Regions from separate parts of the Mus musculus genome. Here region 2 is reported to be linked to region 1. The links are microRNA targets in miRTarBase. Many come from high-throughput screens and were not tested one by one. Region 1 holds a microRNA gene; the other region holds the end of a gene's coding sequence.

Region 1 (7,344 bases):
CGTGTATGTATATGTATATCATATTCACACATGTACATGTACACACACATCAACACATACACACATACATAGGGGCAATCACATGAATGCCAGGATGACCTCTAACTCATCATGCCTTTACCATGAACTTGCACTCCTGATCTTCTCGAATCTACCAAGGGTTTTCCTGTGGTTTGTGAGACCTCACCCTGGCCCAGTCATACATAACCTCCAAAGCAGTAGGTCACATTTCATTCAAATGGATCCGTGAGGGCCATTCCCGCATGTCTGTGTGCATGTGTGTGTAGGTGTGTGTATGTATATGCATAAAATATACACGCATATACATGCAGGCACTTACGCACACAGGCACATACATAGGGGCCATCACATTATTCCAGGATGATCTCTAACTGCTCATGAAGTTAAGCATGAAATTGAACTCCTGATCCTCCTGACACTGACAATTGTTTACACCTGGTGAGTGAGAATATTCACTGTCCCTCTACTTTATAATCAGCAAAATTCTAAGACATAAATCATTCAAATGGATCAATGAGTGTCATTCTTATGTGTGTGAGTGTGCATGCCTGTGTGTGTGAATACATTTGTATGTGTGTGTATTTATATGTATGATCATATACACACATGTACGTGCACACACAATTATATGCACTTGTGCATACCTAGGATCCATCACACAAATACAGGGTGATCTCTAACTCATTATGAAGTTAGCATGAATTTGAACTCCTGAGACTTTTAACTCTGGCAAGTGGTTTTCATCTGATAAGTGACATTATTCCCTATACCATGAATATACACTCAATGAAACTCTAAGCACGTATAAATCAAATGGATGACTGCCATGTGTGTTTGTGTGCACATGAATGTGTCCCTAGTTGTGTGGGTGTATATATATATATATATATATATATATATATATATATATATATATATATGCATGTTCATATACGCGCATGTACAGGCATACTTCCCTATACACATAAACACAAACACAGGGAAAATCACATGAATTCCGGGCTGATCTCTAACTCATCATAAAGTTAAACATGAATTTGAACTGCTCATCCTCATGATGCTGGCAAGAGTATTCACCTCCTAACTGAGTCATAGCACGGGCCATTCGTGGGAGTATGTTTGCATGTGAGTATATGCATATTCATATACAGAAGTGAATATGTACACAACTATACACACATGCACATTCTTGGTGGGCATCACATGAATCGCATGCTGAACTCTAACTCATCATGAAGTTAAACATGAATTTGAACTCCTCATCCTCCTGACACTGGCAAGAGTGCTCACCTCCTAACTGAGACATAGCTCTGGCCATTCCTATGAATGTGTGTGCATGTGTGTATATGCATATTCATATAGAGAAGTGAATATGCACACAACTATACACACATGTACATTTTGGTGGGCATAATATGAATCCCATGCTGATCATGAACTCATCATGAAATTCAGCACGAACTTGAACTCCTGATCCACCTGACTCTGTCAAGGGATTTCACCTACTGAGTGAGACCTCTCCCCATTCAGTACTGAAAAATCTTAAAACTCTAAGTCACATGTCATTCAAATGGATCGATGAGTTGCACTGATGTTTTTGTGTGTGTTTCTGTTTGTGTCTGTGTACATGTACATATTTGTGTAGATAGGTACATCCATATACTCAAATCCACACACAATAGAAACAGATACAGATAGGGATACATAGGGGACATCACATGAATCCCAGGCATATCTCTAAGTCATCATGAAGTAAAGCATGAATTAGAACTCCTGATCCACAATCTTTCACACCTGATGAGTAAAACCTTTCACTGTCCCACTACTTCATAATCTTGAAAACTTTGAGTCACATGTCATTCAAACGTATAAATGAATGCAATTTTTTCCTGTGTGTGTGTGCTTGCATAAACACGTGTGTTTATGTTATGTATATCATGTCAACACATACAATGCACATACAAGTAAGCACACATGCACATACATGGGTTGCATGACATTAATACCAAGATGATCTCCAAATGAAGTTAAGCTTGAATTTGCAATCCTTATCCTCCTGACTTTGTCAATCTTTTACACCTGGTGAGTGAGTCCATTCAATGTCCCCTATTGCATAATCTCTAAAACTCTACATCACTTATCATTCAAAGGGATTGGCGAATGCCATTCCTGTGTCTGTGTATGTGTGCTTGCGTTTATACGTGTGTGTGTATGTTATGTATATTCAAATATAGACATGAACATGCACACACAACTATACACACATGCACATACATGGAGGAATCACAGGCTGATCTCTCATGAGGATAAGTGTAAATTTGAACTCCTGATACTCTTAACTCTAGCAAGCATTTTCACTCTAAGTCACTTATCATTCAAATGGATTGACGAGTGCCATTCCCCTGTGTCTGTGTGCTCATATGTGTCTTATGTGTGCGTGTATGTATATGTATATCATATTCACATATGTACATGCACACACACATCAACACATATACACATACGTAGGGGCAATCACATGAATGCCAGGATGACCTCTAACTCATCATGCCTTTACTATGAACTTGCACTCCTGATCTTCCCGACTCTACCAAGGGTTTTCCCGTGGTTTGTGAGACCTCACCCTGGCCCAGTCATACATAACCTCCAAAGCAGTAGGTCACATATCATTCAAATGGATCCGTGAAGGCCATTTCCGCATGTCTGTGTGCATGTGTGTGTAGGTGTGTGTATGTATATGCATAAAATATACACGCATATACATGCAGGCACTTACGCACACGGGCACATACATAGGGGCCATCACATTATTCCAGGATGATCTCTAACTGCTCATGAAGTTAAGCATGAAATTGAACTCCTGATCCTCCTGACACTGCCAATTATTTACACCTGGTGAGTGAGACCTTCACTGTCCCTCTACTTTATAATCAGCAAAATTCTAAGACATATATCATTCAAATGGATCAATGAGTGTCATTCTTATGTGTGTGAGTGTGCACGCCTGTGTGTGTGAATACATTTGTATGTGTGTGTATTTATATGTATGATCATATACACACATGTACGTGCACACACAATTATATGCACTTGTGCATACCTAGGATCCATCACACAAATACAGGGTGATCTCTAACTCATTATGAAGTTAAGCATGAATTTGAACTCCTGAGACTCCTAACTCTGGCAAGTGGTTTTCATCTGATAAGTGAGATTATTCCCTATACCATGAATATACACTCAATGAAATTATAAGCACGTATAAATCAAATGGATGACTGCCATGTGTGTTTGTGTGCACATGTATGTGTCCCTAGTTGTGTGGGTGTGTATACATATATATATATATATATATATATGCATGTTCATATACGCGCATGTACAGGCATACTTCCCTATACACATAAACACAAACACAGGGAAAATCACATGAATTCCGGGCTGATCTCTAACTCATCATAAAGTTAAACATGAATTTGAACTACTCATCCTCATGATGCTGGCAAGAGTATTCACCTCCTAACTGTGTCATAGCTCAGGCCATTCGAGGGAGTATGTTTGCATGTGAGTATATGCATATTCATATACAGAAGTGAATATGTACACAACTATACACACATGCACATTCTGGTGGGCATCACATGAATCGCATACTGAACTCTAACTCATCATGAAGTTAAACATAAATTTGAATTCCTCATCCTCCTGACACTGGCAAGAGTACTCACCTCCTAACTGAGACATAGCTCTGGCCATTCCTATGAATGTGTGTGCATGTGTGTATATGCATATTCATATAGAGAAGTGAATATGCACACAACTATACACACATGCAAATTTTTGGTGGGCATAAGATGAATCCCATGCTGGTCATGAACTCATCATGAAATTCAGCACAAATTTGAACTCCTGATCAACCTGACTCTGTGAAGGGACTTCACCTGCTGAGTGAGACCTCTCCCCATTCAGTACTGAGGAATCTTAAAACTCTAAGTCACACGTCATTCAAATGGATCGATGAGTTGCACTGATGTTTGTGTGTGTGTTTCTGTTTGTGTCTGTGTACATGTATATATTTGTGTAGATAGGTACATCCATATACTCAAATCCACACACAATAGAAACAGATACAGATAGAGATACATAGGGGGCATCACATGAATCCCAGGCATATCTTAAAGTCATCATGAAGTAAAGCATGAATTTGAACTCCTGATCCACAATCTGTCACACCTGGTGAGTAAAACCATTCACTGTCCCAAACTGCATAATCTAAAACTTTAAGTCACATATCATTCAAACGTATAAATGAATGCAATTTTTTTCTCTGTGTCTGTACTTGCATATACACGTGTGTTTATATTTTGAATATCATGTCAACAGAGGCAATGCATATACAAGTAAACACACATGCACATACATGGGTGGCCTCATATGAATACCAGGATGACCTCTAACTGAATTAAGCATGAATTTGCAATCCTTATCCTCCTGACTTTGTCAATCTTTTACACCTGGTGGGTGAGGTCATTCAATGTCCCCTATTGCATAATCTCTAAAACTCTACATCACTTATCATTCTAAGGGATTGGCGAATGCCATTCCTGTGTCTGTGTATGTGTGCTTGCGTTTATACGTGTGTGTGTATGTTATGTATATTCAAATATAGACATGAACATGCACACACAACTATACACACATGCACATACATGGAGGAATCACAGGCTGATCTCTCATGAGGATAAGTGTAAATTTGAACTCCTGATACTCTTAACTCTAGCAAGCATTTTCACTCTAAGTCACTTATCACTCAAATGGATTGATGAGTGCCATTCCCCTGTGTCTGTGTGCTCATATGTGTCTTATGTGTGCGTGTATGTATATGTATATCATATTCACATATGTACATGCACACACACATCAACACATATACACATACATAGGGGCAATCACATGAATGCCAGGATGACCTCTAACTCATCATGCCTTTACCATGAACTTGCACTCCTGATCTTCCTGACTCTATCAAGGGTTTTCCCGTGGTTTGTGAGACCTCACCCTGGCCCAGTCATACATAACCTCCAAAGCAGTAGGTCACATATCATTCAAATGGATCCGTGAGGGACATTCCCGCATGTCTGTGTGCATGTGTGTGTTGGTGTGTGTATGTATATGCATAAAATATACACGCATATACATGCAGGCACTTACGCACACGGGCACATACAAAGGGGCCATCACATTATTCCAGGATGATCTCTAACTGCTCATGAAGTTAAGCATGAAATTGAACTCCTGATCCTCCTGACACTGCCAATTGTTTACACCTGGTGAGTGAGACCTTCACTATCCCTCTACTTTATAATCAGCAAAATTCTAAGACATATATCATTCAAATGGATCAATGAGTGTCATTCTTATGTGTGTGAGTGTGCATGCCTGTGTGTGTGAATACATTTTATATGTGTGTGTATTTATATGTATGATCATATACACACATGTACGTGCACACACAATTATATGCACTTTTGCATACCTAGGATCCATCACACAAATACAGGGTGATCTCTAACTCATTATGAAGTTAAGCATGAATTTGAACTCCTGAGACTCCTAACTCTGGCAAGTGGTTTTCATTTGATAAGTGAGATTTTTCCCTATACCATGAATATACACTCAATGAAACTCAAAGCACGCATAAATCAAATGGATGACTGCCATGTGTGTTTGTGTGCACATGTATGTGTCCCTAGTTGTGTGTGTGTGTGTGTATACATATATACATATATATACATATATATATATGCATGTTCATATACGCGCATGTACAGGCATACTTCCCTATACACATAAACACAAACACAGGGAAAATCACATGAATTCCGGGCTGATCTCTAACTCATCATAAAGTTAAACATGAATTTGAACTACTCATCCTCATGATGCTGGCAAGAGTATTCACCTCCTAACTGAGTCATAGCTCGGGCCATTCGTGGGAATATGTTTGCATGTGAGTATATGCATATTCATATACAGAAGTGAATATATACACAACTATACACACATGCACATTCTTGGTGGGCATCACATGAATCGCATACTGAACTCTAACTCATCATGAAGTTAAACATAAATTTGAATTCCTCATCCTCCTGACACTGGCAAGAGTACTCACCTCCTAACTGAGACATAGCTCTGGCCATTCCTATGAATGTGTGTGCATGTGTGTATATGCATATTCATATAGAGAAGTGAATATGCACACAACTATACACACATGCAAATTTTTGATGGGCATAAGATGAATCCCATGCTGGTCATGAACTCATCATGAAATTCAGCACAAATTTGAACTCCTGATCCACCTGACTCTGTCAAGGGATTTCACCTGCTGAGTGAGACCTCTCCCCATTCAGTACTGAGGAATCTTAAAACTCTAAGTCACACGTCATTCAAATGGATCGATGAGTTGCACTGATGTTTGTGTGTGTGTTTCTGTTTGTGTCTGTGTACATGTATATATTTGTGTAGATAGGTACATCCATATACTCAAATCCACACACAATAGAAACAGATACAGATAGGGATACATAGGGGCATCACATGAATCCCAGGCATATCTTAAAGTCATCATGAAGTAAAGCATGAATTTGAACTCCTGATCCACAATCTTTCACACCTGGTGAGTAAAACCATTCACTGTCCCAAACTGCATAATCTAAAACTTTAAGTCACATATCATTCAAACGTATAAATGAATGCAATTTTTTTCTCTGTGTCTGTACTTGCATATACACGTGTGTTTATATTTTGTATATCATGTCAACAGAGGCAATGCATATACAAGTAAACACACATGCACATACATGGGTGGCCTCACATGAATACCAGGATGATCTCTAACTGAATTAAGCATGAATTTGCAATCCTTATCCTCCTGACTTTGTCAATCTTTTACACCTGGTGGGTGAGACCATTCAATGTCCCCTATTGCATAATCGCTAAAACTCTACATCACTTATCATTCAAAGGGATTGGCGAATGCCATTCCTGTGTCTGTGTATGTGTGCTTGCGTTTATACGTGTGTGTGTATGTTATGTATATTCAAATATAGACATGAACATGCACACACAACTATACACACATGCACATACATGGAGGAATCACAGGCTGATCTCTCATGAGGATAAGTATGAATTTGAACTCCTGATACCCTTAACTCTAGCAAGCATTTTCACTCTAAGTCACTTATCACTCAAATGGATTGATGAGTGCCATTCCCATGTGTCTGTGTGCTCATATGTGTCTTATGTGTGCGTGTA
Region 2 (7,344 bases), not on the chromosome of region 1:
AGTCTTCATTCTCCTTGAGTTTCATGTGTTTAGCAAATTATATCTTATATCTTGGGTATCCTAGGTTTGGGGCAGTCTTGGTGTTTTGTCATAGAAATAGAAACCCTGAATAAGACAGTGGGGGATGATAAAAATGAAAGATAAAAATGGGGTAGAAGTCAGGCATGGTGGCGCATGCCTTTAATCCCAGCACTCGGGAGGTAGAGGCAGGCGGATTTCTGAGTTCGAGGCCAGCCTGGTCTACAAAGTGAGTTCCAGGACATCCAGGGCTATACAGAGAAACCCTGTCTCAAAAAACCAAAAAAAAAAAAAAAAAAAAAAAGGGTGGGGGGGTAGAATGTCTAGAGATGGGGTCTTTCTTGACTTGTATCCTTGGCCAAAGACCAAAAATGTCCTTTGTTCTATCTTGACTGAAGGCAAGAAGTGCCAAAAATATTTGGAGGCCCTTGTTCCAAAGCTTTAGGCTTGATTCTTAAATAATTTTAGGGTTTTGATTCTTTAAGTTGAGAAACAGGGATTATCAGCCTTGAGAGCCATTGAGAAAAAGTCTCATCTCCTATAAACCCAACAACAGCAGAAAGACAAACATCAACTTTGCCACTCAGTCCCTGGGATCTAAGTCACTGTGTGAAAGTGGAACTATCTGGGCTTTGCTTAGGCCCATTAAGGTAAATCTACTTCCTTCTGCTTAAAAGAATCAGTTCCTCTGGGGTACACAGGGTTTGGGGGTAACCTGAATCTGTGCTTCTGGCCTTAGTCACACATATTTGAAAGTCCCTGGATTCCTGTGGCTACAGCAAACACATGGCCAGCTGATTGGAATTTCAGTGAGAGCGGAGGAGAGGTTGGAGTTAATACAAGGCTGACTAAAAAGAGAAAATGCCTTTACATGAATGTGAGTATGCACAAAGTGTGAAGGCATGACCAAACATGATGTTTTTAGATGTTTTACAAATACAGTAACCTGTAAATCCTGGGGCAACCCAGATCTCTGTACTGGGGCAGTAAATTCTAGAGATGCCAATAGAGGATATCTAGAAGCCCATAAAAGCAGGTAGAAAAGAAGTTATTCATTCAGGCTCAGGACAGCCTCGGTGCTGGTGTCTTGTGACAAGGCCATTTGGTGTTGTGTGGAGAAAACACTCCTTCCTATGGAAGCTTTATGACTTGCTGCATGTAGGAAAACACCGCTGGATGGCCCTTTCTGAAGTTGTCTGAGAGGTCCAACCTTTTGGACATTGTGCCATGATGTTGTTATCATCTGCAGTTTACGATGGAGAAATCATAGATTACAAGAAAATAAATCTCCCTCAAGAAAAAAAAATCTCATGTTTTAAGTAAGTTTATGATTCTGTGCTGGGCTGCTTTCATAGTGGTCCTGAGGCTGTGTGCTTGGGCGTACACCTGGGACTCATTCCTGCAGGGATTCCTAACGACCAGCAGGAGCCATTTTGGTGCATGTTGGGATGGCTCATGCTCACCTCCTTTAGTAGGATGTAGATGTCAACAACTTATCTGGGGCCTTTTATTGAACGAGTGTGTGTGTGTGTGTGTGTGTGTGTGTGTGTGTGTGTGGTGAGACCTTGAAGAGAATGGAGGTGTGTGCTGGGTGGCTTCTGAGGAAAGCCTGTTCCTGGTCAGCAACATATGTGCATCAAGGCTGGCTGCTGAGGGGAGCTTTTGGGGCCACTTGACAGGAATCTGACCTTGGCTAAGGACAAGGAAATGGGCTTCAGGCAGGAATCTGACCTTGGGCCATGATCAGGAAGAAGCTCAGGCAGGAATCTAATTTTAGGGTAGAACAAAGAATTAGGCTTCAGGCAAGAATCTGAATTTGGTCTTGGATGGGGAAGTAGACTCAGATATTTTGGTCATCCTGATAAACTCTTAGAAACAGTGATCATGGGAGTGATCATGGGACTTTGCTTACTGCCTTGCTTGTTCCTTGATGATTCCTGTTTATTGTAATTACTAACATGTAATTAAAACTACATGCGGATTGGGAAAAAATAAACCTGCCTTCGGTCTCAGAATTGACTGAGGTCATGCTGCAGTGTTGTCTAATTGTCTCTTTCTTTTCAGTCCCCGCTCCTGCTGTGGAGAACCTGTTGACTGACTGAGAGGGCTTGGTCAGACTGTAAGAGTGGAAGTCAGGGTAAAGAGGGAACTGGACACATAGAGCCTTCCGGACTGCTTGGAGGACTCCCCCGTGAGCCAACAGAAGGCTCTTTGAAGGATGGCAAGATCTACTTAAAACTGTAAGCGAACAGTCTGGGAGCTCTGTTAAGGAAGCACGTGGGCAAAGGCAGCAGTGGGGATGAAACCTCAGCAGTGGTCCAGGGAAAGGCAGCATCTTTCCCGGCAACACATGACATGCTTCCTGGTACCTGAGTCAGTGATGAGTGCCAGTTCACTGGCTGGAGTCAGGTAGATGACATTAGAGGGTGTTCAGAAGAGGGTTAAAGCCCCGAAGTGAGGAACCTGTTCCAGCAGGTTTCTGTTGGAAAATAGGGATCCAACATTTTAGCATCACTTACAGGGATTTCTGGACAGGCAGGCAAGGCTGGCCCTTTGTGTCAGTTGGGAAAGATAAGAAACAGACTTACAATGGCTTTACCAAACAGGAATTTATTTTTATTTACAAGGGTTCTGGAGATGGAGAGCTGTTGGCACTTGCTTGGTCAGATGATCATAGGGTTTATGGATCTTTTGGCCTTTTCTTTAGGTAAAACATGGTTGCTAATGGTCCAGGCATTGCATCCTCAATCAAGAAGGAAGAAACAAAGCAAGGCTCTCAGAAAAGGCATGGGCTTTTCTAGTAGCTCCTATAGACTTCCACTTCAATTTCATTGGCCATACCTGGTCACATGCTCACCCAAATGTGCAGAGGAGGCTAGGCCTACAATCTCTGGTGGGAAGCAGCGAGAGAGACGGAATTGGGACTAACAGAGTCACAGAGTATCAAGGTAGCTACTATGGTTCCTCTGGATGACCTGCCTTGAGGTCTCTCCATGATTTGCCATTTCCCTGGGGACTGCTAAGTCCCTTGGGTGGTCCTACTCTATCCCAGACGTCCTGTCCTACTCCTCATTACATGTCAGAACAACACATGTACCTGTAAGGTGACAACCCCCAACCCTTTCTTTATTTAGGAAACACATCTTCAGCATAAAACCTCACCAGCAGATACTTAAGACAGGTTCACTGTATTTACCAGTGTTTCTCAACCTGTGGGTTGTGACCCCTTCATGGGGGTGGGAGGCCACACATCAGATATCCTGCATATCAGATATTTACATTATGGTGTTTAATAGTAGTAAAATTAGTCATGAAAAAGCAATGAAAATAATTTATGGTTGAGGGGGTCACCACAACATGAGAAACTATGTTAAAGGGTTGCATTAGGAAAGTTGAGAAGCACTGCCTTAGAACTTTAGAGTTAGAACACACACACACACACACACACACACACACACATACACACACACACACGATGTGTGTGTGTGTTACACATCTATGCAGGTAACATCCATAAGGAAGAGATAGAATCTCCATTCACTGTCAGACCCTGCTGGCCATCCCACCATCATTTCCAGGAGGCAGAGCCCCTGGTGCCCCAGCAGGGAAATCTGTGCTCTGGGGAGTGAGAACTTCTGCTTGTCTGGAAGTGCTCTTCCCACCTGCGAAGGTGAATTATGGATTTCATTCTTCAGGTGAAAGAATTTCGGCCTGGCGTACTCTGTAGATCTTCAAAAATGGCATAGGAGCAAAAGATTCAAGTAATTCGGGTGTAACAGAGGGAGGAAGGGGCTTCTGAGGAAGAAGAATGGGTGGGGAAGACCCAGACTGGGGGGAAGGAGGGGCAGGGTCTCAGGTAACAGTGCTGGCAATATTGACCTAAGAGTTTATTCCATCACCATGGCAGTGGGGTCTTCAAAATAGCATATATATTGTTCCATAGGAAATCATTGTATAGTTGCTTTCCAAAAAGCTGTAGAAAGCTAAGGTTCTTTCCCCCTTCTTTTTGGCTAGAATTGTATGATAGTGTTTTTATACCAGTAAGAAATAAAGATTGGCAGTTACAATCCCCTGACCAGGCCAAGGAATTCTGTGTGTGTGTGTGTGTGGTGGGAACACTATGGATAGTGAATGAAGAATTTGGGGGCTTCAGAGGAGGCACTGGGAACCTTCAGGCCAGGGAGCCAAGAGAGTTGGCTATTTTTAATATACCACTCTTGGGTGCGTCAGCCTAACTATATGTTCCAACCCACGTCCAGGACCACCTCCGGGAGTGTGTTAGACATGTAGCTTCCAGGGACTGTTCACAAGATTCTCTGATTTGTGTATACAGTAAACTTGGCAATGTGCTGATCTAGGCTGGAAGCCAGAGCTCTGAGGTGAGGTGTGGTTAGTAATTTAGGGAGGGCAGTGGGGAGGAGCAATAAAAGCCAAACTCTGAGGCAAGCTGGCAAGACCGAAAGCTGCTTTGCTTGGGACCCTTCCCACCTGACCACAGCCTGCTGTCGCCTCCCATGCCCTTCCTTGCTACAAACATCTGGTGCCTTCTTTGCTTGCCCTGTGATTTCTAAAACAGGTGTCCTTGGCCTCAGGCTAAGCCAGAGTTGAGCTGTTCCCAACACTAGGAGCTGAGCTGCTCCAAGAAATAGGCCTTATTGGGCAACTGAGGCAGAATGGAGGGACACTTGGCCCTCTTCCTCACTTCTGCTAGGGAAATATCAGTGAGTCTGATCGGGGATGGCACCTCTGGAGGTCTTTCCTGGCAGTGGCTTCCTCTCTGGTGCAAGAAGGCTAGGTGCTCAGAAAGAAAAGTCCAGAGACCTTCCTCTGTGTGTGTGTGTGTGTGTGTGTGTGTGTGTGTGTGTGTGTGTGTGTGTCTCCAGCTTCCCAGGAATAGCTGGCCTTTCAGGTGTGCCTTGCTGGCAGCATTGTGGGCTAGGGTCCTCAGGTTCAGACTGGCTGGAGGAGGGCTGGGCCAGAGTAAGTGGCAGGAGCTGGATGGAGGGAGCTCTACAGTGCTCTTTCCTCGCTGGTCAGTGTGGTGATTCTGCGTAGGTTTTCCCGGACTTTGATGAACTCAGGGGCGTGGTCCTCGTCTCTCTGTGGTGGGTTTTCCAGCTGAAGCGGAGAAACACAAGGAGTGAATTTGGCAGGGTTGGTTCTGGAGGTGGGGGTAGAGTTTCTATTCTCAAAAGCCATGGTATTGGACCAAGGGTCCTGTCAATGGGGAAAGCCTGGGTTGGGTTTTACAAACCACCCCAAAGCTGGGGTATGTATCAGGCAAGTATACACTTGAAAGAGGGTCATAAAGATTAACATGAACAAAAAACCCCCTACCCTCACTTCAGGAAACATTATCAAAACAGTACCCAAGAGGAAATCCCACCATCTCCGAATATGGGGAGAGGTGATGTGCAAATGACCTCTCAAGGGTCAGGCTGCTGGCAGCCCCAGGTTTTGATCTTGTAGCCCATATCCATTCTGGAGAGTGCTTTCCTCTCCCTTAATGTACCTCATCTCTGTCACTATCCATGTCCCCAGCCAGCCTTCCCAAAACACAAGAACCCAGATGTCTCTGTTTACTGGTTCAAATCACATCTTCCTCTGGCCCCAGACCCTCCCACCTATGAAATAGAAATGCCACCTGCTCTCAGGGCATTTCGGGGAGCAGATCTATCTTCCAGGATATAGACCTTACAGGAAAGCTGAGGGTCAGAGAAGTGATGCCACTGGACTAGAGTAACACAGCAGGGCAGAGGTAGATTCTAGGTCCCATGCTGACCTTCCTCTTGGAGGAGGCTCAGACGGAAGCTGGACGCTTCCCACCCACCTGGTTCAGTCTCTGCTGCCGCCTCAGCAGCTCCTGCTTGAAGGGGCACTGCATCCGCTTGGCCTCTAGCTCCTCCTCCTTCTTTTTGATCAGCTGATTCCTGCGACGGTGCTCTAGAACTCGCTGCAGCTCAGGCTTGCTGTCCATACCCAAGCCCCTGCGGGTAAGGAGAACAGTGAGGAGACTCTTTCCTAGCCTGGGACACAGTCCCTGTATTATCTCTTAGAGCGTTTGGGAAACACCGGAAGGGGGCGATCTCACTGCCCCGTGCTATATAGAAAGGCAAAGAGGCCCCCCTCCCACAACACAGCAGGGCAGGTGCAGTACAACAGGTGAGTGAGAATTTCAGACCCGGCTGCAGACAGAGACCAGGTATCACATGGTTGCTGGATATTTTACTAGAGCTTCTGATGGCGGAAATGCTGGCCTTCGCTCTCTTAAAATCTCATGGGATTTAATTTCCTTACAAAAATATATATTTACCCCCATTTTACAAGCCAACTCTTTTAAGTCTAGGAGACAAAAAACAATGCCTGGTTTTCATGTTTCCTTAATTACCAGTCACATGTAATGAACTTTAAAGTGTTTCTAGCATTCACATTTTCCCATTTGCATATGAATCCCACTCATTTTGCTTACCCTTTCCTGGTAGACTAAGGTACACGAATATATGAATATTTCATACTGTATATGTAATTTTCAATAGAATTTATTTATATTGCAAATATTTCAGTTTGCCTGAAGCTGTTTTCCATCGTGGTGGTACTTTTGATACTGAAATGAATGATTATCGCAAAAACAACTGAGAACATGACAATATTATAATATTAGTAGAAAACAAACCCAAAATCAGCTCCATGTGCCAGCGGTATCTGTCGCATGACTTAGAATGGAAATCACGTCCAGCTCCAATACAACAACCAGCCGGCAGAGGGCGCCATGAAGGTACCATAAGCTTCGGCCTCTAGCCTCTAGCCTCTCAAGGGCCCCTCAGCCACCCTCTCCTACACTTGACATCCTGTGATTGCTGATCACAGATGTGTCATAGCCCATTCCCCCCACCCCCGACTCTTGTGTTTCACTGCCATGCTCTCCCCCAACAGAGGGTGTGGCTGAGAAAGAGCCATCACTACCTGAACCCTCTACAATATTTATGTGCTCTCTCTCCAGTTTTCTCTGCCAACACGACCCATCTCTCAGCAGGGTTGGCTCTTGCCCCTGCTTTAGGCCTTCTAGATATCCTCTCTTCCATGATGTCATATAGATAGTCCCCCTATCCCAGTAGCCCCTCTGGGGTCCCACATTCACTTAAAGCTTCCAGCAACTTTCTTTTCCCCTGGGGAGGGCAGAAACTGGGTCTCCGTCTTTTGTATCTTAGGTGTGGGCATGGTGCCCTGCACACAGTAGGGCATCTAAGCACACAGCAAATGGGTAGGGCTTTCAGGTTCACACAGTTTCTTCTGGTGACCCTGTTGGGGTTCCAGGCAATGGCTAGG

The links. The annotated mature microRNA mmu-miR-466c-5p reads UGAUGUGUGUGUGCAUGUACAUAU and lies in region 1 at 4,921-4,944, opposite strand. An mRNA with a match to its seed (bases 2 to 7 or 8) in the 3' UTR can be bound and repressed. Matches are read on the target gene's strand: a 7mer-m8 pairs with bases 2 to 8, a 7mer-A1 pairs with bases 2 to 7 and ends in A, and an 8mer does both.
Region 2: miRTarBase lists Fam107a as a target of mmu-miR-466c-5p. Seed matches in the 3' UTR shown: 7mer-m8 at 3,493-3,499.

Annotation. Positions count from the first base shown.
Region 1 is chr2:10,479,144-10,486,487 of GRCm38, reverse strand. Mir466c-1 (microRNA 466c-1) reads right to left here and starts at 4,954; the gene lies at 4,871-4,954. The region is part of intron 10 of Sfmbt2 (Scm-like with four mbt domains 2); the gene reads right to left. Mir467b (microRNA 467b) reads right to left here and starts at 5,240; the gene lies at 5,168-5,240. Mir669a-5 (microRNA 669a-5) reads right to left here and starts at 4,727; the gene lies at 4,641-4,727. It also overlaps Mir466e, Mir669a-4, Mir467a-3, Mir466c-2, Mir669a-6 and Mir467a-4, and 1 more gene.
Region 2 is chr14:8,293,662-8,301,005 of GRCm38, forward strand. It overlaps Fam107a (family with sequence similarity 107, member A), which reads right to left. Exons shown (of 4, transcript NM_183187.4): 3 at 5,849-6,005; 4 at 2,609-5,136. The coding sequence ends at 5,029. Among named protein-coding and RNA genes, the nearest start is that of Fam107a, 12 kb to the right of the region's middle.